7 linked regions of the Ovis aries genome follow. The protein of the gene in region 1 interacts with the protein of each later gene in a biochemical or structural test. Links are inferred from orthologs where the notes say so. Each region holds a gene or a part of one and is shown in the gene's direction. Other genes may lie near its edges. The genes, in order: HIF1A, CREBBP, EGLN2, KPNA6, HDAC1, MAPK1 and MTA1.

Evidence for each region.
Region 2: the proteins of HIF1A (region 1) and CREBBP form a complex in vitro, tested with the Homo sapiens proteins (6 studies listed by BioGRID and IntAct, with this or other methods). The link is inferred for Ovis aries from reciprocal best matches to the Homo sapiens genes HIF1A and CREBBP.
Region 3: the proteins of HIF1A (region 1) and EGLN2 form a complex in vitro, tested with the Homo sapiens proteins (3 studies listed by BioGRID, with this or other methods). The link is inferred for Ovis aries from reciprocal best matches to the Homo sapiens genes HIF1A and EGLN2.
Region 4: the proteins of HIF1A (region 1) and KPNA6 form a complex in vitro, tested with the Homo sapiens proteins (2 studies listed by BioGRID). The link is inferred for Ovis aries from reciprocal best matches to the Homo sapiens genes HIF1A and KPNA6.
Region 5: the proteins of HIF1A (region 1) and HDAC1 form a complex in vitro, tested with the Homo sapiens proteins (2 studies listed by BioGRID). The link is inferred for Ovis aries from reciprocal best matches to the Homo sapiens genes HIF1A and HDAC1.
Region 6: of the proteins of HIF1A (region 1) and MAPK1, one has a biochemical effect on the other in vitro, tested with the Homo sapiens proteins (3 studies listed by BioGRID). The link is inferred for Ovis aries from reciprocal best matches to the Homo sapiens genes HIF1A and MAPK1.
Region 7: the proteins of HIF1A (region 1) and MTA1 form a complex in vitro, tested with the Homo sapiens proteins (2 studies listed by BioGRID). The link is inferred for Ovis aries from reciprocal best matches to the Homo sapiens genes HIF1A and MTA1.

What each region holds. Positions count from the first base shown.
Region 1 is NC_056060.1:71,948,986-71,952,569, forward strand, and holds part of HIF1A (hypoxia-inducible factor 1-alpha), read left to right. Parts: intron 1-349; coding exon 350-570; intron 571-1,109; coding exon 1,110-1,396; intron 1,397-2,802; coding exon 2,803-2,925; intron 2,926-3,063; coding exon 3,064-3,488; intron 3,489-3,584.
Region 2 is NC_056077.1:3,737,285-3,741,482, reverse strand, and holds the start of CREBBP (CREB-binding protein), read left to right. Parts: upstream 1-1,398; 5' UTR 1,399-2,202; coding exon 2,203-2,287; intron 2,288-4,198. UniProt on the Homo sapiens protein: Acetylates histones, giving a specific tag for transcriptional activation. Mediates acetylation of histone H3 at 'Lys-18' and 'Lys-27' (H3K18ac and H3K27ac, respectively).
Region 3 is NC_056067.1:49,455,234-49,459,335, forward strand, and holds the start of EGLN2 (prolyl hydroxylase EGLN2), read left to right. Parts: upstream 1-1,274; 5' UTR 1,275-1,346; intron 1,347-1,533; exon of another isoform or gene 1,534-1,837; intron 1,838-2,446; 5' UTR 2,447-2,682; coding exon 2,683-3,501; intron 3,502-4,102. UniProt on the Homo sapiens protein: Prolyl hydroxylase that mediates hydroxylation of proline residues in target proteins, such as ATF4, IKBKB, CEP192 and HIF1A. Target proteins are preferentially recognized via a LXXLAP motif.
Region 4 is NC_056055.1:235,353,895-235,357,478, reverse strand, and holds part of KPNA6 (importin subunit alpha-7), read left to right. Parts: coding exon 1-138; intron 139-2,210; coding exon 2,211-2,398; 3' UTR 2,399-3,584. UniProt on the Homo sapiens protein: Functions in nuclear protein import as an adapter protein for nuclear receptor KPNB1. Binds specifically and directly to substrates containing either a simple or bipartite NLS motif.
Region 5 is NC_056055.1:235,260,693-235,264,866, reverse strand, and holds the start of HDAC1 (histone deacetylase 1), read left to right. Parts: upstream 1-1,369; 5' UTR 1,370-1,435; coding exon 1,436-1,484; intron 1,485-4,174. UniProt on the Homo sapiens protein: Histone deacetylase that catalyzes the deacetylation of lysine residues on the N-terminal part of the core histones (H2A, H2B, H3 and H4).
Region 6 is NC_056070.1:72,077,236-72,080,819, forward strand, and holds part of MAPK1 (mitogen-activated protein kinase 1), read left to right. Parts: intron 1-3,248; coding exon 3,249-3,365; intron 3,366-3,584. UniProt on the Homo sapiens protein: Serine/threonine kinase which acts as an essential component of the MAP kinase signal transduction pathway. MAPK1/ERK2 and MAPK3/ERK1 are the 2 MAPKs which play an important role in the MAPK/ERK cascade.
Region 7 is NC_056071.1:67,462,095-67,465,678, forward strand, and holds part of MTA1 (metastasis-associated protein MTA1), read left to right. Parts: intron 1-1,756; coding exon 1,757-1,807; intron 1,808-2,185; coding exon 2,186-2,312; intron 2,313-2,746; coding exon 2,747-2,810; intron 2,811-3,584. UniProt on the Homo sapiens protein: Transcriptional coregulator which can act as both a transcriptional corepressor and coactivator. Acts as a component of the histone deacetylase NuRD complex which participates in the remodeling of chromatin.

The sequences.
Region 1 (3,584 bases):
CTATGTTAATTTCATTCCATGTTGGCACAAAAGATCTGTTTATTGTCCTACATGTACTTGACTATTACATTTCTTTGTTACCACCAGTCTTCTCAAAGGGATAGCTGAAGTTTCTTAACTGAAATTAATCAAATATTTGAATTATCTTGTATTGTGAATTTTAATAGGTCTTTATTTCATATTTTGGATTTTAAACCCTGAACATGACCAGGTAGGCATGAGAGAGATTTTAAGGCATCATTCCATAAAGCAGAATTTTGAATTTTTTTGAGAGACATTTCAGAGTCCTCCTCCTCCAACATTGTGTCAAGTTCTCATTTAAGAATTACTAATCTCTCTTTTTTGACAGTGGTATTATTCAGCACGACTTGATTTTCTCCCTTCAACAAACAGAATGTGTCCTCAAACCAGTTGAATCTTCAGACATGAAAATGACTCAGCTATTCACCAAAGTTGAATCAGAAGATACAAGCAGTCTCTTTGATAAACTTAAGAAGGAGCCTGATGCTTTAACTTTGCTGGCACCAGCTGCTGGAGACACAATCATATCTTTAGATTTTGGCAGCAATGGTGGGTCTTTAGTTATTTTGTTAATTGCCTAAACTTTACCATTTGTTGTTGATGATCATTTGGACATTGTGGCCTTTGGCCCTGTGATTTGGAGACTGTGCTCCACAGTGCTTTTAGGGCGTCTCTCCTTCCCACTTCTGATTGCTCCCAGCTGCTCTTTTTCTGTACCCTGCTGCCATGTCTTCTGCACAAGTGGGCAGTTATATGCAGCAGCCATAAGTTGAGCTGAAGAATAAGGCGTTGTACCATAATATCAGATATTGAGAAAGAAAACTAATTTCAAACTAGGTTAAACTTTAATAAATACAAGGTATGAGAAGGTTGGAATGCAGGGGTTTTTATGCTATAGATTACAGAAGTTGTCAATAGTGGATTGGTAGGATAACTCAGACTTAGAGTTATACCATAGTATCTGCAGACTTTTAGATTAAGTAAAATTTGGTAACATTTTTATTACTTAAGTCAACTAGACAAACCTTTTGTAAGAGGGGACATAAATTTCTGTATATGTTAAAATCTAGGTAATCTTTCCCCTACAGACACAGAGACTGATGACCAACAACTTGAGGAAGTTCCATTGTATAATGATGTAATGCTCCCCTCATCTAATGAGAAACTGCAGAATATAAATTTGGCAATGTCTCCATTACCTGCCTCTGAAACTCCAAAGCCGCTTAGAAGTAGTGCCGACCCTGCACTCAACCAAGAAGTTGCATTAAAGTTAGAACCAAATCCAGAGTCACTGGAACTTTCTTTCACCATGCCCCAGATTCAAGATCAGCCAGCTAGTCCTTCTGATGGAAGCACCAGACAAAGTTCACCTGAGGTAGGTGTCATAATATAATTAGAAAAGGATAACTTATAGATTTTAATGTTTGGGGATGTATTTGTAAATTTGAACCACATGTCATAGTTTTGTTTGTGTGACTTTTAGCACTTTTAAAATTACTGCAAAAGCTCTGCCTAACTTTGACCTCAGTCCCATGTTTCAGGCTCAAAAACAATCAGGAATGTGGGAAGGAGATGCCTTAACATAAGGCAAAAGGTAAAACATACATTGCTCCTCTGTGTATTTAATATCAGTAGGACAATAAAAGTCTTGAATTTAGACATCCACAGAGGGCAATACTGTGTGCTTATGACTGCTCCAAGCCCATTCATATTACCCTTTGAGTTGGAGAATTATCCAGTAGCAAAGGGCTTTGCCCAGTTTAGTACAATTTCCATCACTGTATTGACATTCTGTGTAAGTATTACATGAAAATGCCAAGTCTTACCCAGAGTAAAAACTTTACATTAAATTTAAGTTCTGTCTTGATATTAGTTTTCTCATATAAAAACAATCTTTAAGGGCTAGCTGGGCCAAGACTGACAGTATCAAATAGGGCTCTATATCCCAATCTAGACATACTTGATTTCAGAGCTTCTTATGTCTAAAAACATGCTCATGGATGGGGACTACTCATATTTGAGTATTATGAGTTTATAAGTGAGGCTCAATTAAGCCTTAAAAAGTGATAACATTATTTTACATTAAATATTTATTCATTCAAACTGGCAAGCTAAAAAAGTAGGAGATCTGACATGTCATAGTCTTCCAGAGAATGTATCTATTCGCTGGAGGCTCAGTTTCGTCTAGCGCAAAAAAGGAATCATTTTGTTTCTAATCCAACCAAAATAAATCTAACAAAAATGTTAAGACGAGGAAGGCAAAAGTTTATGCTTAGAATAGGCAGCTGTCATTTTTTGGTTAGAATTTTTGCTGAAAACTAAACTAGTACTACATTCATTAAGGTGAATACAAGTTAAGAACTTCAGTCTGCAGCCCTGTCCCTACCTCACCCCCCAGATTTGCTGTGCGATTTTTAGGTAGATCACTATAGCAACATGGCCTCAGTACACAGCTAGATTCCAGTGAGTGTATCATCTAGTTATTGGCCAGCTAGGTACCATTGGGTGTTGAACTATTAGGTGAGTTTTATTCTTTAGAATAAGCAGATAAACACATCTTTTAATTTTATAAATGATGTTATGTACAGTTAGAAATGGATATATTGACAAAATTATAAGTGTAAGTTCAAAATTTTAATTTCTCACTAGTTAGATAATTTGATAGAAGAGAAGAGTTCTGTTGTATATTCTCTGAGATGAGGTTTGCAAATTCTAACAACTAGCAAAACATTTATCCAAGCTTCCTCAGAGAAAAGTAAAATATATTAATTCTTTTTACAGCCTAACAGTCCCAGTGAATATTGTTTTGATGTGGATAGTGATATGGTCAATGAATTCAAGTTGGAATTGGTAGAGAAACTTTTTGCTGAAGATACAGAAGCAAAGAATCCATTTTCCACTCAGGTATATAAACTTGTTTATTATATATATTTTCTATTAAAATTTATTTATTAATTTTTATTCTCAAGTGGCTGTGGGTTTAACTTGTTTTTGCTTCATAAGGTATGGCCATTGTAAAAACTCATGTATCTTGTTTTAAAGGACACTGATTTAGACTTGGAGATGTTAGCTCCTTATATCCCAATGGATGATGACTTCCAGTTACGTTCCTTTGATCAGTTGTCACCACTGGAAAACAGTTCTACAAGTCCTCAAAGTGCAAGCACAAATACAGTATTCCAGCCCACTCAAATGCAAGAACCTCCTATAGCCACCGCCACTACCACCGCCACCAATGATGAATTGAAAACAGTGACAAAAGATGGTACGGAAGACATTAAAATACTGATTGCATTTCCATCTCCTCCCCACGTACCTAAAGAACCTCCTTGTGCCACAACGACACCATATAGTGATACTGGAAGTCGGACAGCCTCACCCAACAGAGCAGGAAAAGGAGTCATAGAACAGACAGAAAAATCTCATCCAAGAAGCCCTAATGTGTTATCTGTCGCTTTGAGTCAAAGGTATTTATACGTAACATTAAACTTATACTTTGGTCATTATTCTTAAGGAAATGTGTATGATGGTAAATTATTTTTAAACATAGCAAACTTTTTCAT
Region 2 (4,198 bases), on another chromosome or scaffold:
ATTTTGAACAATATACATAAACAGAAAAAAGTAGAAAGATCATTCAGTCTTTTTTTTTTTTTAGTTGAGGTACAGTTGCTTTACCATGTTGTATTAGTTTTTGCGGGTACAGGAAAGTGAGATCACTCAGTCTTAACACTTGAAGACCATCACAGACACTATATAAATGCTGTTTCTTTGAAGCAGAGTTTTTTTCTCTTTCCAAGAAGTTAACTCTGGTGCTGAATGGGGAGAAATATAGTTTTCAAGGGACGCTTAGTGGGGAGATGCCATTGGAGCCGGGGAGTGGGAGGAAGAGCGGTTTGCCCAGGTAAAGGACCTGGGAGGCAGGTTGCTCGGTGGGTGGAGAGGGAGGGAGGAGTCGGCGCTGACTCTCAGAATTCTGGCTTAGGGAACAGGTTGCTGGTGATACCTTTCAGATAAGGGCTTCGGATGAAGCGCTGGCAAGTTTTGAGAAGCAGATAAAAAGAACTGAGATGTGTGAACACCTCAGATTTTTGTGGAACCATCCTGTGGGGAGTGGCCAGGCGGGCCGATCCCCCTGGGACCCCACACCTGTCTGGAGCACCTGAGGGCTCCAGGAGGTTGTCGTGGGGCGGCGAGGGTAGCGCACCAAGGCCCGTCGAGGCCCTAAGCCCTGATGTAATGGGGCCTTCTGGGCCTGGGGACAGGCTGAGAGCGCCCGGCTGGAGGACAGCGCTCACCACCTCGAGGCAGGTTGAGGGTGTCGCACCTGGCGCCCCCGGGGCATCGGGCTGCGGAACAGGGGCTCAGAAGCCTGGCGACGCCCCTCACATCTCGCGGGGGCGTTCGAATTCCGGCCCCGCCACTTCCTGCCTCAGTTTCCCCACTGCACCCGCTCGCAGGCGAACCAGAGGGCAATGTGTAACCTGCAGAGGCCACGATACATCGCTGGCATCCGGCGAGGGGAAGTGGCCAGGCCTAGTCGCGGGGCAGCGGGGAGAGAAGCCGGGACCGAGCAGAGTCGCCCTGCGGGACAGGCGGGCCCTGTCACAGCCGACTCCACGCCCAGGGGCCCGGCTTGAGGCCAGGCCGCAGCCAGAGCTCTCACCGCCCAGTCGCCGTCAGAACAAAAGTGGCGGCGGTGCCGGCGCCCGGCGCCCCGCAGGCCGGGCCCCCGGCCGGCAGCCCCGCCGCCCCTCCGCCCGGCAGCACGACGCACGGCAACCGCGCCTTCGGCCCTTTCCGTCCGAGCGCGCTCGGCTCTTTCCGCCGCGGCCGGCGCAGGTGGAGGGGGCGGGGCGGGGGCCGTGCGTAGTGACGCCGCGGGGGGGTGACGCACCGGCGTGCCCCGCCCCCTCCCCCTCCCCGTTCAGGCTCTGGAAAGAGAAGAAAAAAAACTTTCTTTTTTTTTTAATTGAGGAATCAACAGCCGCCATCTTGTCGCGGACCCGACCGGGGCTTCGAGCGCGATCTACTCGGCCCCGCCGGTCCCGGGCCCCACAACCGCCCGCGCACCCCGCTCCGCCCGGCCGGCCCGCTCCGCCCGGCCCTCGGCGCCCGCTCCAGCGGCCCCGCTCGCCTCTCGGCTCGGCCTCCCGGAGCCGCGGCGGCGGCGGCGGCGGCGGCAGCGGCGGCGGCGGCGGCGGCGGCGGCGGAACGGGGGGTGGGGGGGCCGCGGCGGCGGCGGCGGCGGCCCCGCTTCGCGCATTGTTTTTCCTTACGGCGGCGGCGGCGGGCCGCGGGCGGGGAGCGGAGCCCGGAGCCCCCCGGTAGTCGGGCCGCGAGCGAATTAATTAAGTGGGGCGCGGGGGGGGGGGGGAGCGAGGCGGCGGCGCGGCGGCGGCACCATGTTCCCGGGGACTGCCTGAGCCGCCCGGCCGGGCGCTGTCGCTGCCAGCCGGGCCCGGGGGGGCCGCCGGGCCGCCGGGGCGCCCCCGCCGCGGAGTGTCGCGCTCGGGAGGCGGGCAGGGGATGAGGGGGCCGCGGCCGGCGGCGGCGGCGGCGGCGGCGGCGGCCGGGGGCGGGCGGTGAGCGCTGCGGGGCGCTGTTGCTGTGGCTGAGATTTGGCCGCCGCCTCCCCCACCCGGCCCTGCGCCCTCCCTCTCCCTCGGCGCTCGCTCGCGGCTCGCGCTCGCTCCTCTCCCCTCGCAGCCGGCCGGGGCCGGCGCCGACCCCAGCCCCGGAGCCCTCGCCGACCCGGCCGCCCGCGCTCGGGGCTGTTTTCGCGAGCAGGTGAAAATGGCCGAGAACTTGCTGGACGGACCGCCCAACCCCAAACGAGCCAAACTCAGCTCTCCCGGCTTCTCGGCGAATGACAGCACAGGTGAGAAGGGGGCCGGGCGGGGGGCCGGGGCCCCGGGCGTTGCTTGTCAGCCCCATCCGGAGGTGAGTGCCCCCGGGAGACCCCAACTCGGCTGCGGGCTGTGCGGGGCCCGCGGAGCGAAGGCCCGCGCAGCCCCTTCCCCCGGACCCCCGCCGCCGAGGGGGAAGTTTGTCGGAAGACTGTCATGGGGCCCGAGTGGGGCGGCACATGCCCGGTGCGCTTGGATCGCCCGGAGCTGGAGAGCCCTCCTCGCCGGGAGACCGAGTGGTACTTCCAGGGAGGAAAAGTAAAGTGGAGCGTGTGTATTCTGCGTGGTGATTCCGTCTGCCTCCCACTGCCGCCGTGTGTCCGTCCACACAAGCTTGGCTGGCTGGAGAGATGACAGCGGAGGGTACGCTGGCTAGTGAGAGAAGGAAATAGTGCTGCCGAAAGGAATCCCGAAGTGTTTTCTGAATCGGTAACATATACACAAGGCTGCGACCAGAGGACTTTCCTAACAGCAGCCAGCCCGTGAGTTACGACTTATAAGTTTCTTGGAATGTGCTTCCTGGGAAAATGCTTAGTGCTATTTTGAAAACTCTTGTCGCTGGTCACCTAAGCCATTCCATTTTTCGCAACCCAGAACTTCTTAGCAAGATGTCATAAAAGTTGCTGTGGAGTGTTAATTTCACGTGTATAACTTCGGAAGAAAGTTAAACAGCAGATTCATCTGGGCTGCAGTCTCCAGGGGAGCTTGTGGTGTTCTTACAAATGTACATATATATATATAAATTATGTTCAGGAATGTAGGAATTACCATTAAAAATTTATTTTTATCAGAATATTGAATAAATCGTTTAAACAGCTTGTCTGGAGACCTTCTTCGGTACTCCTATCAGTTACCTAAGAGAAGTAGTTTAGTTTTCTGTAGGTTTAATGATTCTGGGTTCTTCTGGGCTGGTTCACGGTAGCGTTATGTACTAGTTGTGTTTCCTCTTTCAGAGCTCTCCTTTGCAGTAAAACACAAACTTGTGCTCTGCTGCCCACGATTTGATTCCCAGCGCTGCTTGCATTTCTCCACTACGGTCTTGCAGTAGAAGCATCTGAAAATCAGTTTATAATGAATGGGTCCAAATTGAATTATATTGCTGCAGCAGTGCCTTCAGATTTGCAGTAGACACAGCTGTTCAGCTTGTGCAAATATTTCTTTGACCACTAGTGTTTTTCTACTAGTGGTCTAAATATCTCTCTATCCTGTTGAGACAAAACTTGAATTTTGTGGCTGCAGTTTTAATACAATTCCTAGACTATTATTTAATGTGGAAGTGACAGAAACAATCAAAAACAAAAAACATATCAGTCGTGAGATTCTTGTCTGGTTGAAATAAATTTGTTAAGCAGTGGAGAGGAATGAGTAAGTCTGGTGGGTGATTTTAAGTCACTAATAATACTCTATTTAAAAGCTGATAAAAATTGAGTTTGATGTTAATTTTTAAAATCGGCTTATCTGAAGTGAGAGATGTGGAAACAGGCAAGAGTTAAATGCTCTGATTTCACTCCATGAAAATACTATGGTTTTACTGCAGAATAGATCTCCTTTGCTTCGTTAATCTTGACATATTTGAGTGAAAAATCTTTGAACATATGAAATGTAGATCATACCAGACGAGTTTGGCCTTGAAGCTTGTCCTCTGAAACTGGTAACTTTTGAATGGCTTTGCAGCTTTGCTATTGTTAAATGAGGTTATTTTAGATTTTGTTTTATAAAGAGGGACAAATTAGTAACATGATACTTTAACAGAGAGGCTTGTTGCACTATATACTTTCAGCTGTTTCCAGGATGGTGCACAGTGGATTGGCCTTTGGGGCAGTTCTGTTCCAGGATGGTTAGATACTTAATGTGCTGCTAATCACAACAGAGTTTTATCAAAA
Region 3 (4,102 bases), on another chromosome or scaffold:
AGTGTTGCTTGTGTGTGTGTGACACTTTGCTTGTGAGTGCTCTGTGCCCTTGGTGATTGTGTCTACAAGGGTGATGTTTGGGACGCTGAGGCTAGGGAATGAGAATTCAGGCCTGTGGGTGAGCCCTGAGTCTGCTCAGTGGGTGATACTTATGCATTTCTGATGCCTGAAAGTCTGAGGCAGTGTCTAGTTAGTGCTTGACTGTGCATATGTGCCCCTGAGATCTGTGTGTGTTTTGGTGTGTATTTGGCTCTGTTGACACACCTGTGTGTGACCATTAACCCTGTGTGTGCCCCTGAAGACTGTGTGGGCTTTTGTACTACCCTAACCCCCATGCATACTTAAGGTCAGTGTTACCTCCTGTGTCCAGGTGGACCGCTGACACCTGCACGGGCTCTGCCAGGGACTGGTGCAACCCACTGAGGACACTCCCAATGGCTCTCCCTCCCCCAGGCTGGCCTTAAACCGTCCTCAAGGGAGGCCAGAGTCCCTGCTCAGCCTGGGGCTGGTGGAGGGGGCGGGGCATTTAAAATGACCTCATCTGCATTTTATCCCCCTAGGTCAGGTCGTCCAGACTGTTCAAAAGACTCTTGAGATAGTCATGCCAGTGTCTTCTCTAGCTTTCCTAGCTGGTTTTATTCGGACTCCACACAGTTGTCCCGAAGAGGCAGGGCAGAGCGGGTCAGAACCTGCACATCCCTTCTAGTCCTCTCTCCCTTCTCTCAAGGACGTTGCGGTTTTTTCTTTTTTATAAAATGTCCCTATGTAAATTACTTGCTGTCGTGCAAATTTACATACATTTCCCAACTATTTGCCCAGACGCTTTTCAGTCCTAATCTTGGGCTGTGAGAAGGCGGGGCTGTCCATGTTAATAACATCCATGATATACATGCCACTCCTAGACCCCACTGCTCATCCTCCCGCAGCGTTCTCTGCTCCAAGGAGACTGGCCGGCCTGTCTATGTAAATAGGCTGATTTACATGCCCCTCCCACTCGCTTGGCGTCGTATACGAGCCCCCCGCCCCCACCGCCCTATCCGGCCCTTCCTAACTGCGTTCCTCCTCTCGCACAAAAGGGGCGGGGCGGAGGGCGCCAAGAAGCCCGGCGTTACCGTCGGATCCATTTATTTCCCCTTTCTCCTGGAAGAGGGTGTTCGGAACTCCGTCGCCCCGCCCCGCGCGGCTCGCGCCTGCGCCTGTTCATCTCCTCCGCCCGGACGCGGTCACGTGTCCACCGGGCGAGGCGGGGGCGGGGCGTCGCGGGTGGTGGGGGCGGGGTATGGCGCGCTGTGCGGCGCAGGGCGGCTGGCACAAACGGCGGCGCCGGGGCCGGAGGAAAAAGCTCGGTGAGGAGAGCCCGGGAAGGGAAGGGAACGAGGCGGAAAAGGAGTTGGAAGTCGGGCGCCGGCGCGAGCCGGGCGCGGTGTGGGGGCGCGCGCCCGGCACTCTGGCGGAGCGCCGCGACCCCGGGGAGGGGAGGGGAGCGGAGGGGAGGGGAGGTGGGGGTGGGGCGTGGGGGAGGGAGCGCGCGCCGGGCACGTCGGGCGCCGGCCGTTGGGGGTGTTGGGGTGGGAGCCGGGAGCGCGCGTCGGGCGGAGCGGGGGGGAGGGGAGGGGACACGGGGTCCCAGCGGTCCCTAGGCCTTGCCTTCGTGTCCTGCTGCGCCCCGAGGGGCCTCCGGGCCCGCACCGGAGGGACTTGGGAGGGGGGCTCTTTTTCCCCGCCTCGTCCTGTCCCCGAGTGCGTGAACCCTCCTCCACCCTTCCCTCTGTCGCCGTGGACCCTGCTCCCACGGCTCCCTTCCGTCTGTCCGTCTCAGGACCTCCCTTCCGTCTGGGTGTGTGTCAGCCCCTAACGGGCTTTCCTCCTGTTGGGCTCGGGTCGACCCTTCCACCCGCTTCTGCTCGGCTGTCTCAGGCCCACTCTCTCTCTTCTTCGCTCTATTCTTTTTTCTGTTTCGGGAACCCCCCCCCGCCCCCCCCGCCACCAGTTTCCACTGTCTGTAGATCCCCCCCCCCCGCTTCCTTCTGTGTTTTCCAGACTGATCCGCCCCCCTCCCCCCAGTCCTCCCCGTTTGTTTCTAACTTCTAGTTCTCGCTCCGCCATCCTTTTCTACTAAGAGTCCCCTCCTTTACTTCTTTTTTGTTTGTGGGTCTGTGTGTGAGGATGTATCTCACCCGTAGCCCCCACTGCAGTCCTCTGGCTGTGGGTCACCTACCCAGCCTCACTTCTCCAGCTGTCCCGTTTATTGCCCCTTGTCTCTTCGTGACTCCCCCCAAGTCCCAGAGTCTCCGCCGCCCCCACCCCCCCTCCCGCCATGACCTCAGGTTTTGGGGTCTTTGTAGCTAAGTCTGCCTTGCCCTCTACTGCCCCTACCACTTCCCCCACTCCCCGCCAGTGCACTTGCCTGTGTAGCTCTTCTCACCTTCCTTTTTTTTCTCTCCAGCCACTGTGACAGGTCCCTTCCCAAGCCCCTAGGGACAGCAGAGGACTTGGGGACCAGCAAACACCCCCAGGGCGAGAGAAAAGCCTCTGCCACCTGCCCTGCCTCATCCTGCCCCACGCCAGGCCCAGCCGCCCCGGCCCCCGGCTGCATCAAGTGGAGGAGGAGGAGGTGGAGGAGGGTGGCACCATGGGCCTGGGCCGTGCCCTCCATGCCCGGGGGATGAAGACACTGCTGCCATGGACAGCCCGTGCCAGCCCCAGCCCTTGAGTCAGGCTCTCCCTCAGTTGCCGGGTTCAGTGTCAGAGCCCTTGGAGCCTAGCCGGGCCAGGATGGGGGTGGAGAGTTACCTGCCCTGTCCCCTGCTGTCCTACCACCGTCCAGGAGCGCCCACTGAGGCCTCAGCGGGGAGTGGGACCCCCAGAGCCACAGCTACTTCCGCCACAGGCAGCCCCCTGCGGGAGGGCTTCGGTGGGCAGGATGGCGGCGAGCTGCGGCCGCTGCAGAGTGAGGGCGCTGCGGCACTGGTCACCAAGGGGTGCCAGCGGCTGGCAGCCCAGGGCGCCCGGCCCGAGGCCCCCAAACGGAAATGGGCAGAGGATGGTGGGGATGCCCCTGCACCTAGCAAGCGGCCCTGGGCCAGGCAGGAGAACCAAGAGGCGGAGGGGGAGGGCTGCAGCAGTGGCAGCAGCGAGGCCAGCGCCGGGCTGAGGGAGGAGGTGCTGCCCGCGGCACCCGAGCGCCTGGCCCTGGACTACATTGTGCCCTGCATGCGGTACTATGGCATCTGCGTCAAGGACAGCTTTCTGGGGGCGGCCCTGGGTGGCCAAGTGCTGGCGGAGGTAGAGGCCCTGAAGCGGGGCGGGCGCCTGCGAGACGGTCAGCTTGTGAGCCAGCGGGCTATCCCGCCACGCAGCATCCGTGGGGACCAGATTGCCTGGGTGGAAGGCCATGAGCCGGGCTGCCAAAGCATCGGTGCCCTCATGGCCCACGTGGATGCCGTCATTCGCCACTGTGCTGGGAGGCTGGGCAGCTATGTCATCAATGGGCGCACCAAGGTGAGGCCGCGGAGACCTGCTGTGAGGGGTGGTGGGACGGGGTCCCCAGGCACTTGGACGCCTGTTGTTCTGAGTATCAGTGAGTTTGGGGACAGGCTTCTGGGGTCACAAAAGGGTTTAGGCAGCCCTGGTACAGGGAGTGTCAGAGCTCACTGTGGGCTCTTGTGCCCTGTGGGCCTTAGTTTGTACACCTGCAGGCTGTGGGTTTGGCCCATAGTCACCGGGATTCTTGACCTTGCCGGGGATCCTCTCAAAGAACCTGAAGAGAGGTGTCGCCATTCGTAGCTCTGCATCTGTGTCTGAGCCTTCTTGGGGTCAGCAGCCCTGTGATGTCTGTTCATGGGCCTTAGAGCAAGTGGGCAAGGTTTGTGTCTCTGTCTGTCTGCCCATCTTGTGTTCTTCCTGTTTCCTTATTTTTTCCTCCATCCAAGTGTATCTAGTCCATCCTGTCCACTGTGCGTGTCTTGTCTGTCTAGTCTGTCTCCCAGGTAGGAGAACTGGGAGAGGTAGGTGGCAGTGGTGAGGCCCATGCCAGGCTGAGGGAAGATGCCCACCATGCCTGGTGCTGGGCTGCACTGCACCCTGCATGCCATACTGTGAC
Region 4 (3,584 bases), on another chromosome or scaffold:
TGCTGACTGTGATGGATTCAAAGATTGTGCAAGTGGCCCTCAATGGACTGGAGAACATCCTTCGGCTTGGAGAGCAAGAGGGCAAGCGCAGTGGCTCAGGGGTCAATCCCTACTGTGGCCTCATCGAGGAAGCCTATGGTATGTGCCCTCTCCCCAAACTAATGTCTGCCATAAGCAGAGTTCAGAACCATAAGTTCTAGTTCAGAACCTCTGAAGTAGTATATGTATGTGAGGGTGTATGGTCAGCATTGAATGCAAAGTTTTATCCCACAAGTTCCATTTCTTCTGAGGAGCAATAGATCAGTTCTCTTTCTGATGGGCTGTACCCAGTAAGTAGGTTATGGTACAGATGCAAAAATAAAGCTCCAGAATTGATAATAGGATAAGGAGCTGGAAGGCATGTTTTCAGCTGAGTTTCTAGCAAGTTCCTTTCTTTTGTTTTTCCATTATAAACAAGCTTATTACAAGATACTAGATAAGTTCTCTGTGCTGTACAGGAGGTCCTTGTTGTTCATCTATTTTGTTAATAGTAGTTTGTATCTAAAGCTTCCCAGGTGGCACAGTGGTAAAGAATCTTTCTGGCAGTGCAAGAGATGCGGTTTGATCCCTGGGTCATAGAAAGTCCCTGGAGGAGGAAATGGCAACCCACTCCAGTATTCTTACCTGGAAAATTCTGTGGACAGAATGTGTCAAAGAGTGGGATGCGACTGAGCAACTCGCATGCACGTGCACACACGCACGCGCGCGTGCGCACACACACAGTTTGTATGTGCTAATCCGAAACTCATAATTATCCCTCCCCACTCCAGTATTCTTGCCTGGAAAATTCTGTGGACAGAGGAGCCTGGCAGGCTGTAGTCCATGGGATCTGACTGAACAACTCACATGCATGCACATGCGCACGTGCGCACTTGCGCGCGCACACACACACACACACACACACAGAATTTGTATCTGCTAATCCCAAACTCATAATTATCCCTCTCCACCTTTCCCCCTTTGTTAACCATAAGTTTGTGTTCTGTCTGTGAGTCTCTTTTTATTTTATAAATAAGTTCACTTCTATCAGTGTTTTTAGATTCCCCATATGTGATATCATATGATAATTGTCTTTGTCTGATTTACTTTATTTAGTATGATTATGTCTGGGTCCATCCATCTTGCTGCAAATGGCATTATTTTATTCTTACTTGGGCCTGAGTAATTTTCCATTGTAAATGTACACCACGTCTTCTTTACCCATCATCTGTTGATGGACACTCAGGTGGCTTCCATGTCTTGGCTATAGTAAATAGTGCTGCTATGAACACTGGGGTGTATATATCTTCTCTCCAGATACATGCCCAGGAGTGGAATCGCTGGATCATATGCTAGGTCTATCTTTAGTTATTCAAGGAACATCCATAGTGGCTACACCAGTTTACATTCCCACCAACAGTACAGGAGGGTTCCCTTTTCTCCACACCCTCTCCAGCATTATTTGTAGACTTTTGGTTTGTTTTTGGTTTTATACTTGTCATACCTCTTGGCTTGCGGGATTTAGGCCTTGGTAGTGAGACTGCTCAGTCCTAACCATTGGACTTCCAGGGAATTCCCTTGTAGACTTTTTGATGATGGCTGGTGTGAAGTGATACCCTCATTATAGTTTCGATTTCCACTTCTCTAATAATTAGTGATGTTGAGCATCTTTTCATGTGCCTCTTGGCCATCTATATGTCTTTGGAGAAATGTCTGTATAAGTCTTCTGCTCATTTTTTGGTTGGGTTGGGTTATTTGTTGTTCTCATTGAGCCATGTGAGCTGTTAATATGTTTTAGAAATTAAGCCCTTGTGAGTTGCATCAGTTGCAAATATTTTCTTCCATTCTACAGGTTATCTTTTTTGTTTTGTTTATGGTTTCCTTGGCAAATTCTGTTAGGGGTACTGGGTTGACTCACTACTCATCTCCAGGAGATTCAGAATGGTTAACAAATCACCCAGGTTAAACCACTGATTAATAACTGACATTTTAGTTGTTTTCCTTTGGGGTTATGTAATTTTAACTGAAGATCGCAGCTCTCCTCTTTCAGATCAGAGAGAGACCTGATCATATTACTTTTGTTTATAAATGCTAATATACCTCAGGGAAGGCAAAATGCATTCATGTTTTATGGACCCATAGTAAAGCATTCCAAGTTCATTCTTGTCCCTGCTTCTTTGTTGCCACCATAGGCTTGGATAAAATTGAGTTTCTCCAGAGCCATGAGAACCAGGAGATCTACCAGAAGGCCTTCGACCTCATTGAGCACTACTTTGGTGTAGAAGATGATGATAGCAGCTTGGCTCCCCAAGTGGATGAGACGCAACAGCAGTTCATCTTCCAGCAGCCTGAGGCCCCCATGGAGGGCTTCCAGCTATAATGTCTGCCTCCAGGGAGGGGAGGGGATGGGAAGCACCACCAACCAGCGGAAAAGCAGCCCTCTGGTGGGCGGGAAGCCAGCCCCCCCACCATCAGCCACCACACACCTCTGCTGCCCTGGAAACTGTGCTCTTGACCTGCTCCGACCCCTTCCCTGGAGGGAGCACCCTCTGGACAGACAGAACCATCTGAGGCTCACGTTTGGGTTTTGTGACAAGAAGGGGATGTGTTGGGTTTTTCTTCCTTACACTATATTTTGGCTGCACATATGTCTTTAACCCAGGAGCCCAGGGGTAGACAAAGGAGGACTGAGGTAACCAATTTTGCACCTTTTTTTTTTTTTAATTTTAATTTTTTTCTTTAGTGGTGACTTCCTTCCCTATTATCTTCCTTCATCCTTCCCAGTCCTCTGCCCTGATCTGTGTAACTCTTATCTTGGGTACTTGAGCAGATGGAATATTCCAGAGGTGAGGGGGGTGGGAGGGGAGGGGAGAAATCCAAAACAAAGTGTTCTTGCTCTGACAGAATATTAATCTTGTATGCTTGGATTGAATTATTTAATTTTTTCTTTTGCACATTTTTTCTTGTATTAAGATTGCTCTTTCCCAGAGCCATGAGTTCCTGGTATTAGGAAACCCAGCTGCCAGCATTGTCTGGGACTAGAGACTGAGGGGGAGGTCACCATGCGAGAAAGGCCCCTCCCTCCCTCCAACCCCTTGCCCAGACCTCTTTAGTTTGGGAGATCCCCTTCACTCTCCTGGGGCACGTGCACCAGTGGGAGTCAGCGAGGAGGAGCACAGGCCTTCAGACAGGGCTTCCCATGTGTCGCTACTGATCCCATGTTTCCTACCCACCTTCCAGTGGTGCGACCTGACTTCATTTGTTTACTTGAAAATTCCCCTCAGAGTTGAAATGAACCTCTGAGGTAGCTGTATTTTCTCCTAAGCACGCAACAGAGGGCTGTGGTCCTTGCTTTCTCCTGAGGAGAAAGTCCTTGCTCGGGTGACCCATAAGTTGCAGAGGAGGTTGGAGTGAGTGTCATGTACTGGGATAGCCAGGGGATCCTTGCCTTTGGCCTTTCCTCTTCCTCTTCCGTAGGTGGATCATGTATATTTGACTTCCAAAGGAGAGAATGTCAAAAGTTCTGTATTTTTTTATATTCTATATATTAGGTAGGTCAATCTTAA
Region 5 (4,174 bases), on another chromosome or scaffold:
AAATGTATCTTATTGACTGTAGAACCATAAGTAACTTACTTGGCACACAGTAAGCACTCACCAAATATTAATATTGTTGTAGTTGCCTCTTTAATAGCCCACCACAGTGCTTTTCAGCCTTTAGCTTTCAATAATGATTGACTGATTGATCTAGTGCAGTGGTTCTCAAGGATTGGGTTGGGGGCACTTTTATACTTCCTCCAATCCTCTCCTCCTTGCCCTGGAGACATTTTGCCATGTCTAAGTACAATTTTTGTTGTCACAGCTGCAGAGGGCTGGGGGAGTGCTACTGGCATCTAAGAGTAGTGGACAAAGTGAAAATGTTAGTCACTCAGTCGTGTCCCACTCTTTGGGACCCCATGGACTGTAGCCCGCCAGGCTCCTCTGTCCATGGAATTCTCCAGTATCCTTATACCGGAGTGGGTAGCCATTCCTTTCTCCAGGGAATCTTCTCCACTCAGGGACTGAACCTGTGTCTCCAGCATTGTAGGCAGATTCTTTACTGTCTGAGCCACTAGGGAAGCCCACAGTGCACAGGATGGCCCCCCACAACATATTTGTGTATTATCCAAAATGTTAACAGCTTCAGTATCTTTAGAAACTCTGCTCTGGTGTAAGCAACAGTTTCCTCCCATCTAAAGGCACTCCTTAGGCCGCCTAGGAATTGCATCAGGAGTAAGAAAGGACTGCATTTGAAAAGAAAGACCGCATTTGGAATAAGAAAGGCTGGGTTCTGCCACTTTGATATGTGCTTCTGGAGTCGAGTAAGCGTTTTAAAAAATCTGTGGTTGAAAACTGAACGTGATTATTGTGTGACTCCCAGGAAGTCACAAAGTTCTCAACTTCGTTATCCTTGTCTGTAAAATGCGGATGAAAGGCCCCACTCCAAAGCCGCCAATAGGAACAACAGAGATGACCGAGATAATGTCGGTAAAGCTATGGCACAGTCCTTCGTCTACAGCAGTTTCCTGTCGTTTGTCAATTTATATTTCTCCCCCTCCAAACTTAACTGAGTGACCTTGCGCAAGTCACTTTCCATCGTAGGCCTCTGTCAAATGAAAGTTGGCCTCTGATCGCCAAGCAGTCTCCCAAAACGGAATGGGACACCCAAGTTAGCAGACCCACTTTCTTCCCCCGGGACGAATGGTACGATCCCGGGGCAGCCCCACCCCCCCCTGTCGCGGACCTTGGTACAGGCCCAGGGGGCCCTCCGAGGCCTCGCCGGGCTGCCCTTGCCCCCCGCCGAGTTCCGGGCCGTCCCAGCGCCGCTGATTGGCTGGAGTCGTGCCCGGGCTGCGCGGCTATAGGTGAGCCCGGGCGGGGATGGGCGGAGCACGCTGGAGGCCCGCCCCCTCCCCGCGGGTCGGACGCTGAGCGGAGCCACCGGCGGGAGGGCGGACGGACCGATTGACGGGAGGGACGGGAGGCGAGCAAGATGGCGCAGACTCAGGGCACCAAGAGGAAAGTCTGTTACTATTACGACGGTGAGCACAGTCCTCGCGCCGGGGGCGGGGCCGGGCCCGAGCCGGGCGGGATCCGGGAGAGGGAGCCGAGGAGGTCTGAGGGGGGAGGCTGAGGCGTTTGGGAAAGGCTGAGGGAGGAGGCTGAGAGAAGGAGGCTGAGGCTGAGAGAAGGAGGTCGAGGCTGAGGGCAGAGGCTTGAAAAGGTTGGGGTTGAGGGAGGAGGCTAAGAGGAAAGGAGGTGGAGCTTGAGGGAGAAGGCTGAGGGGAAGGGGGTCGAGGCTTAGAGGGGAGGCGGGGGCGGGGGGGGGGTCCGAGGTCAGGAGGGTCGCCTGGGGAAGCGTGAGGTCACCTTGGTGGGGAATTCTGAAGTCTGATGTGGAGTTTGCGGCGGCCTCCTAGAGAGGAGGCTGAGTCCGAGGCAGGAGGCAGAATCTGGTGAAGAAGATTGCCGGGTGACATGTTCTGCTGAGAATCCTAAGATCTCTCACTGCCCCTTTCCTTCCTCATCTCTTCTGGTGAGAGGCCTGCAGGACTCAGCACCTAGAGGTCACCAGCTCCCCTCCCCCTGTCTCCCAGCGGGCCCTGCGGTTGCTGCTGGGAAATGGGACTCCTGGGGTTGGAAGAAGAAGGATGCAACTTGTTAAAACAAACTTTTTCGTTGAACAGAAATCTGTGGAGCAGCAGCTTCTTCTGTTCTAGGTATCGTTTAGGGGCTGAGGCCAGGGGATGATCTTGCCACCTTCCTTTCACTCAGTCTGGAGGAGCATATAGACCATGACAGAAAATTTGCTCTACACTATCAGGTTGGGAGGAAGGACAGCTCAGAGTTTGCTGGGAGCACAGCGAAGTATCTGCCCAGCCTGAGAAGTCAGGCAAGGAGGTGCCATCTCAGTTAGGACCTGAAAAGCAGGAGTTACTAACTAGGCCCAGGAAGGATAAAAATAACAACAAGTTGAGAGGTAAGAGAGAGGCGAGCACCTTTGAAAAATGGCTGGATGTACAGTATGTTGGAGACATAAATTTGAAGGCACAGTGTTAGAAGGTGTAGAGCAGGGGTGAGAAAAGGGTTGCAAGTGATGAGGCTAGAGAAGTAAATGGGGACCAGATCACGAAAGGCTGGGCACACCACCCTAAGAAAGTTGGATTATATTCACAAGTTGGGCATTGGTGAATCACTGAAGTATTCAGGTTAGTGACATCATCAGATTTATTGTACCTTAGAACTATCACTCTGGGACAGAAGTTAAACGCATGAATGGAGAAGTAAGGAAAAAGGCAAGGATACCCAAGTATCTAGTTTGGGCAGTTTCATGCTGAATGTAGAAGGCCATTCCAGTTGATAATGTTGGGTTTTGTTTTTTAAAGAAACATTTGTTGAGATGTCTGGGGGATATCCCAAGTAGAGGTGTCCAGTAGGCAGTGGCCATTCAGGTCTGCAGTTTAGAAGACAAATGAGAAAATAGAAAATTTTGATGATTGTCAGCATATATACATACAGCTGATAATTTTAGTTACAGAAGAGGATGCAGTTACCCTTGTATCCCATATAAGAAGTTGTATAGGGTGAAAAGAGAAGAGGGTCCAGGGTGGGATTCTAAGGAGGTGGACTGAGAAAAAGTCGAGTGTTCTTCATGCTCTGTACTCCCTGGTGTGTAGAGTACATTTGTGCATTAGTCACTGTGTATTGGAATTGCCCATTTACTTATTCATACTTCTTACAGACAGTGAACTCCTTAGGGAAAAGGATCATGTTTTGTCTACCTTTGTATACTCAGGCCCCCAAAACAGTGCCTAGCTCGTAGTAGATTCTCAAAAAATACTGTTCATAAAGTGAATAAAGATACAGAGGGAATGACTTGAGATGTAAGTGAACCAGAAAGTGTTGGGTTACAGTAGCCGAAAGAGGGAGGGAGTGGCCAAGTGTCGGCAAGAACTGTTTCCTGTGCAGCATTTAGAACTGAAGTTAAATTGCTGTAGACTGAAGGGTTGAGTGAAGAGGAGGCATTAGATTGAACTTTTTTAAAAATCATACCACTCTGTGTGTAGGGTCTTTGTTCCCAAACCAGGGATTGAACCTGTGCCCCCTGCAGTGGAAGCACGGAGTCTTAACCACTGGACCACCAACGAAGTCCCTTTAAAAGGAAGCTTGTTGAGACAGAGAGAGGCTTGTTAATAAAGAAGAGATGTAGTGGCTGAGAGTTAAGTATGTGCAAATTTTTATGGAAATTAGGGAGAGGTTGAAGATACTGGGGAGAGGGGCTAGTAACGATGGAGGTCCCTGAGGAGAGATCAGGTCAGATGGAAACCAGAGCACACGTAGGGACACCCCTCTTTCAAGAGGCAGTTCCTTTGGGATGAGAGGTTAAGTGGCAAGAAAAAACATGTTTGAAGGAGAGAAGATGGAAAGCGGAGGGGGCTTTTAGGATGAAGTAAGAAAATATTCCTTTTCGTGAGAGTTGGGGAGGGCAGTTGGGTAGAATAGGCATCTTGAAGAGAGATAGCTGTTATGAAAGAGGGAGCAGGTAAAAACATTTGAAGCCTTGCTGGGCAGTGGTGAGGGCCCATTTGAAGCTGGAGTCTGTGACTTCATAGCTTTATCAGTTTGCACAGTTTTGTGATCTCCACATTCTCAGTTTAAAAAGAGAAAAAGTGGAAAGACCTCCATCTTTAGAGAAGGGTGATCTCTTCCTTTCTGAGAAACTACTTGTGAG
Region 6 (3,584 bases), on another chromosome or scaffold:
TCCCACAGCCCCAGGCCTAGAAAGTTTGTAACCGGTGGCCTTACTGATGTCTTGTTATTTAGGTGTTTTTTTTTTTTTTTTGAATTTTCAAGCAGGTAATTAGGTCACTTCTCCCTGTTTCCATTGACTTCTGTGTTAGTATTTTTCACTCTTGAGCCACCAGGGTGTCAGCTCTGTCAAGTGTCTTAGACCTTTAGCTTTGACTCTGTACAGTCAAGGCCAACAGCAGTCAGCTTCTGGTTTTGGCTTCCATAACATGCTTCGTGCTTGGTACCCAGCCTTGAGACCCAGTACACACTGGCCTCTCCTGGCCTTCCCGGGCCCTCTTCCTGCGGGCACCCTGTCTATTTCTCAGGGCCGCAGAAGAGCGAGGGTTGTGGACCCTATCTGGAGACTGTGCTGGCAGTGTGTTCTTAGTGAAACTTCAGGGGTATGTCATCTCCAGCAGTGTTTGTCCCGGGTGTTTGCTTGCTGAGCCTCCATCCAGCAGCCCCAGGGGAGCCCCGGCTGCTGGGGTCGCAGCGTGTATGCTTCTGGGTGGGCCTAGAAAGGAGGGTCAAAAGGTACGAAATGAAAGATCTTTGGGGCTTTTGTTCTAGGAGAATCTGAATTTACTCAGCCCAAAGGTCGCCAGGTAGGAGGGGTAGGACATTTGACCAGGTCGCTTTCTATTTCCGTACCGTATCCTGGGTGTCTACCTTCCTCTGCATAGAACTGTAGTCACTGTTTTGGGTAGCCTTGGCAGTTTTTTGGTCAGCGCTGTATTAGCTTTCAGTGTTGCAGTGAGCGTCGCATGAGTTCTGTGGATGACCGTGAACAGAGTTTCCCTACGCGTACCTCTTGATTCGTTAAATTATAGCCAGTAATTTTTATCAACTACGAGCGCAGGATACCAATAGAAAAACATGGTCCTCCTTAAGCCAGCTCCCTCTTCTGGAAACTGGTAACTCACAGGGGAGGAGGAAACGCTTCCCTTGTCTTCCCAGTAGGGTCTGGACTTCAAGGTAGGCACAAAGCCCCGGTTGATGAATAACGGTAAAAGTAAATGCCAGCTGATAAAGGCACAAGGGATGATGAAGTTAGAGAAGTCAGCGCTTCGCAGCTCCCAGCAACGTAGCTGGTTGGTGCCGTGCGTTCCTGGGCCCGCTACTCAAGACTCCTGCTCCCTTGGGGGCTCTTGCCGCCTCCCCACGTGGATGCCTGTTTACCTCCCCCCTCCACCCAGGCTGGAGCCTCTCTCAAGCCCCCCAAGATGTCATGGCCTGAAACAGCAGTTGTCTGTTTGAATGCTTAGTTTCTGAGGTCAGAAGTTTGGTCAGGCAGCGGGGGGGTCGGGGGGGGGGGGACTGCTCTGGGCTCAGCCTCTGGACCGCAGCTGAGAGACGCCCTGGAGGCTCAGACCGTCGCCCACAGGCCTGGTGGTTAGTGCCACGGCATGGCCACACGCCGCCCATGTGACCTGGTGTCCCCACGACACGGCCAGAGGCTCCCAGTTCCCCAGGTGGAAGCCACGTTGCTTTTTGTGATCTCACCTCGGAAGTCACGTGGCACCACTTCCAGTATGTTCTCTTGGTTCAGGCAGTTAGAAAGGCTTGCCCAGCTTCCAGAGGAGGGAAGATAAATCCTGCCCTCTTGATGCAAGCTCGGCCCCAGAGCTGTGGCCAGCATGGGGGTCAGGGTTACGTTGGCGTGGCTTTCTTCTGCGGAGCCCTCTGCCGCGGCTGTCTTTAGCTTGCTCTCACCACGTGGGCCGTCTCTGTAGAGGCGGGAGGTCCTGTCCGCCTCCCGAGTGCGGCTCCTGCTTCTGTTCTGCTCCTGGAGGAGGTGGAGATGTCAGCCCCAGGACTGAGCCCGCTGATCTGGGGGCCTGTATGCAGGCTTTTCACCGGGGGTTCCGCTGACCACAGAGAGCTGTGACTCATGTCTGGACCCGGCCACGCCGTGTGAGCCGAGGGTGCCCAAGGGGTGGTGTGTGGCGCGGGCGCGTTGCAGACACGCAGACAGTCCGTCAGCCTGCAGCTGTCCCGGGTGTGGTGGCCTCAGCAAGCCGTCTGGCTGTGGAGGCGAGGCTGGTGCTGGAGGCCAAGGGGCCTCAAGATACCGCAGCGACTGTGCAGCCCTGTCCAGAGTGCCCAGAGCACGGCCCTGGAAGAGCCGCGGAGCGGGCGTGGCGTTGGCTCCTCCTGAAGACGCGCTGACGGGCTCAGAGGACGGAACTGGGCAGCGTGGACGCAGAACTTCAGAGGGCTGCATCGAGGAAGCGGCAGGGCCGGGGGTCAGAGGTGCCGCGGCGGGTGCCAGCCTCCACAGCCGCGAGCCCTGAGGAGGGGGGCGGAGCCTTCAGAGTCATTTTAAGTTGTCTCGACCTCCAGCTGTGGGGTCTCTGCAGAGGCTGGTGTCCGTTAAGTCTTCTGAATATCCCTGCCTCCGTATCTCTGTTTTTATGGACTGAGCTCACCCTTGTCACTTTTCAACCGAATTAAAGCAGTCAGCCTCCAAAGTGATCTCTGTCTTCCAGGCTGCCTTCTGCTGGATTCGTCTGTGTTAGCATCTCTCTCCCTCTTTCTTTCTCTCTGTCTCTCGGATTAGTTCCCCAGGAGCTAGGAATTAAAAGGTCCTGCAGTTGTTGGGGACCAAATAGGTTCCGGTTACTCTCCTTGCACGTTGTAATCTGGAGCAGCCCCGACCGTTGCGTGGTCAAGGCCAGCTTGCGTGAGTCAGGAGAAATTAGAAGCTGGATTTTTTTTGGTAAGGATCCGTCTTCAGTATGTGGAGCGTCTTGTACGGCTTTGGGAGTGGGTTTGACTACAGGAGGGGAAGGAGGTGGGCAGAATAGGCGGGGGAGGTCACGTGTGGAGAGAGGCCCTGCCAGAGAAGCTGGTCCCAGTGGTGACCGTTCCAGCGCTCACTGGGCGCTGGTTTGAGTGACCTTATTCTCCGTGCAGAACTGTTTATCAAGTGGCCTAAGCAGGTTTGCTGTGGGTAAGCAGATAAGTAGAGGCTGCATACCGCTGAAATTGTGTTCTGGGCAAGACCCTCCAACCTGTTCCTTCCTGACACGAGGTGGCTGCCTTCCCGTTGTCGTGAGGAGCAGGTAAGGGTGGGTGTGTGCCGTTGCCTTGCGGCTCTGCCGCCCGAGGATGGTGGCACTTGCTGCCGCCGTCACTGCTGGTGTCCCGCCAGTGTCTGCGGCTCTGCTGCTGGCGACCCTGACTCTCTCAGAAGCTGTCCTGTCTGCTTTCCCCTAGATCTGTGACTTTGGCCTGGCCCGTGTTGCAGATCCGGACCACGACCACACAGGGTTCCTGACCGAGTACGTGGCCACGCGCTGGTACCGGGCTCCAGAGATCATGCTGAACTCCAAGGTAAGGGCCAGGTTTGCATCAGAAGAAATCCGGGAGACCAGAGGACTTAGGGCGTGAGTGGCAGTCAGCGTGGGCTGAGGCTGGGCCTGTCTGGCCAGCCCCAAGGTACCGTCTCGTCTCCCTTCAGCACTGACGTCCCGGCCCTCGGCTGGGCTCGTGCTGGCTTACAGAGCTGCGGGGCGTGCTCCCGCCATCAGCTGCCTGCGTCCCGCCCCCCAG
Region 7 (3,584 bases), on another chromosome or scaffold:
CTCTCCTGCCCTTGGGCCCCAGGGGAGCTTGTCCAAGCGTTAGGTCACGAGACCTGCGGGGAGTGGGTCCCCCCGAAGGAGGGAGCTGGCGGGGCTGGGGAGGCCCCCACACCCGGCTCAGGGCAGGGCCTCCGTCTCCCCAGGATCCTCCGTCTCATTGGGCCAGGGTGGACCAGGGGAGTGGGAAGGATACTCGGGCCTCTTCTGGCAGGAGGGATGGAGGCTGGGTGGGCGCCCACTGCGTGGTCGGATCTGCTGCTAGAGCTGCTTCTGGGCCTGGAGCCCGAGGCATGAGCTCGCGCCCCGCCCCGCTAGCACAGATGCCCCGGGCCCGTGGGCCTCCCCAGAGCAGGAACGCCCTCACCGGGTCTGCAGGCCTTGGGCTGCCTGCCCGGCCCTGCTCACAGGTGCATGGGCCTCCCGCAGAGCTGTCCTGAGAGCCGGACCTTGCCTGAGGAGCAGTGGGCGTGGGACAGGCCCTTCCAGGAACCCCAGAGCGAGTGCGGGGCTCGGGAACTGGTGGGGTGTGTGGGTGAGGCCCCAGCTCTGAGCCCAAGGCCAGGACTCGCTGGATCCCAGAGGGAGGGGCTTTGGCCCCAGGGGCTGTGTGCCCCTGGGTTCCTTGACGCTGGGTACCACAGCCCATTCATGTCTGCGGCTGCAGAGCCACGCAGAGACTCCTGGTCTCCTGGGGGCAGGGGTCAGCCTGGCCGAAGCCCTGGCTGCCCCTGAGGCCGCAGTGTGGCTCCTGGCCGCTCCTCGTGTTACTGACGGTTGGGAGCCCCGGTGGGCCTGTGTCGGCGTGAGGAGGGCGAGGTCTGCGGCCATGATAAAAGGGGCCCCAGGGCCTGACTCTGGCCCCGGCTCCTTGCTGCTCTGCCGGGCCGGCGAGGCTGCCCCTGGATGGTATGAGCACCAGTGTGGGCTGGGGGCCGTCTGAGTGTGGGTGACCCCCTTGCGTGGGGCTGCCCTGGGGTCCCCAGGGGTGGGCAGGGTGTGACGTGGCTGCAGTGTGGGTGGGTGCCCAGGTCCCTGTGGCCCCCGCCCAGATAGCCTGGCTCGGCCTCCTCCCCAGCTGCCCGCACCCCAGCCCCGCCCGCCGGCTGCAGAGCTGTGGACTCTGGGGGGCAGCGCGGGTCCCTGCGCAGCCGCCACAGGGGGGCAGCAGAGGGCTGCAGGCCGCACAGGGGCCCGAGCCTGCTCCATGCAGCCTCCTGGGGGCCTCGGGGTGGAGGGTCGTCTGGCTGTGGGCTTGGCTTTCCCTGTCCTCCTGCGTAGCCCCAGACCACCACTGCCAAGGGCACTCCCGCCCCAGGCCTGCCTGTGCGGAGTCCACATCCTGGAGGCCCCCCGCTGCCCCCCACATGCCAGACTTCCAGGCTCTCCCTGTGGGCGCCAGTGTCTTAGCCATGGGGGGTGGCTGAGGACCCCGGGCAGGAAGCTGTGCCGCTGATCTGGCTTGGGGACCCATCCTGCCCCCACCTGGTGCCCTGGGCCCTATTCTCCGGAAGGTCTGCCTCCCGCCGACTTTGCCCAGACAGGCCAGCCCAGGCTGGTCTGGGGTCTGCTTGGAGGCGTGGGTGGCGTGGGCGTGGGGGTGGGCAGGGCCGAGGTCAGCTAGGTGGGACGTCCTCTGGCTTTGGCTGGGTGGTCTGCGGGCTCCTGTCCACCTTGCCTCCCAGCCTCACCCCCTCAGCCAGGCTGGGTGCTGAGGCTGACCTGCTGTCTGGGCGCTGTCTGTCTGTCTGCTGTATAGCCCTGTCAGTCTGCTATAAGACCGGATCGGGGGCCGACGCCGGCGAGGAAGGTAAGAGCCGCCCTTGCCGGAGGGTCCTGGCGCCTGTGCGCCGGGCTGCATGCCCGCCCCTGCCTGCCTGCGGTGAGGTGGGCCTGCGGAGGCCCCTGCAGCTTGGCCTTGAGGGGGTTCTGGTGCAGGGGGGCACGGGACATGGCTGTGGGGTCTCTGCCCCCCGGCCCTGGACGTGCAGCAGCGGCCGCCTCGTCTCCCCTGTCTCCCCTCGGCTGGCTCAGGACACGTCCTCCTTCCTGATGAGACTTCCCGGCTGCGGGCTGCTGGGGCGGCTGGGCTAGAGTGCCTGCCGGGGCCCCCTGCGGGGCGGGGGCCGGGGGAGCCAGCGGGTGGGTCTGTTCGGTGGCCTGAGTCCATGTCCGCTCTGTCCTTCAGGAGAAATAGAGGAGGAGATGGAGAACCCGGAGATGGTAGACCTGCCTGAGAAGCTCAAGCACCAGCTGCGGCATCGGGAGTTGTTCCTGTCCAGACAGCTGGAGTCCTTGCCTGCCACGCACATCAGGTACCGGAGGCCTGGGCGGGGACCGCACGTCAGGGGCCGCAGGCCCGGGTGGTGGGGACCGCACGTCAGGGGCCACAGGCCTGGGCAGGGACCGCACATCAGGGGCCGCAGGCCTGGGCAGGGGACCGCACGTCAGGGGCCGCAGGCCTGGGCAGGGAGCACAGGTCAGGTACCCCAGGCCTGGGCGGGGACCGCACGTCAGGGGCCGCAGGCCTGGGCAAGGACCGCACGTCAGGGGCCGCAGGCCTGGGCAGGGACCGCACGTCAGGGGCCGCAGGCCTGGGCGGGGACCACTACCGCAGGCCTGGGGCAGGGAGCACAGGTCAGGTACCCCAGGCCCGAGCGGGGGACCGCACGTCAGGGGCCGCAGGCCTGGGTGGGCACGGGAGCACCCGCCCGCCCTGATGCCCGCCCTCCTGTGTCCTGCCTCGCAGGGGGAAGTGCAGCGTCACTTTGCTGAATGAGACCGAGTCCCTCAAGTCCTACCTGGAGCGGGAGGTGAGGCTCCCCCGCCCCCCGAGGGGCACAGCTTGTCTTGCTGGGGGCGGGGAGGCCCGTGGCAGCTGCCCTGGTTGCCGTCTGGGCTTCCCCAGCAGGCGGGTGCCCACCCAGCCGTCCTGGCGGCCATGTCCCGGCCACACTGCGCCGACCCAGCGTTGCTGGCCGGGCAACTGGAAGCGTCTGAGTTTGTGAAACGGGTCGTCAGTGCTGCCTGGGCCAGGGGACCAACCTCGTCCCACTGGTGGACGGGCCTTGCGGTGATGCCCAAGCTCCTCACCCTGTGGCCGCTGTCCTTCCCGCTGTGACCCCCAGGGTGGGTGGTTCTGGCGGGCTTGCCTGTCTATCGTCCCCTCTCCCGAGAAACGTGATGATCAGAGCCGTCTCCAGAGGACACACGCGTGTCCCTGGAGCAGCAAGACGTATCTCCAGGGAAGCAGGGGGGCCACCAGGGGTCGCCGCAGCGGGGCTCGGGCGTTATCCTGCAAGGGCAGGTCAGGGCACGGCCAAGGGGACACGTGCCGCTGGCTCCCAGGGGACCTGCCCATGGACCCCTGCAGTTCCTGCCGGAGTGTCATCCCCTGCGGGTGGCACCCTCCCCAGGCAAGGCCAGGCTCTCCCGGGGCCCTGAGGAGCGAGCGGAGGGGGCGGTGTGGACTGGGAGTGCAGGTGGCTGCCGGTGCCAGCGGTCCGGCGATCCAGCGAGGGCGGCCTGGTGTGCAGCCTCCCTGATGCCTGACTCGGGTTGGAGAACCGCCAGGCGAGAGCCTGGAG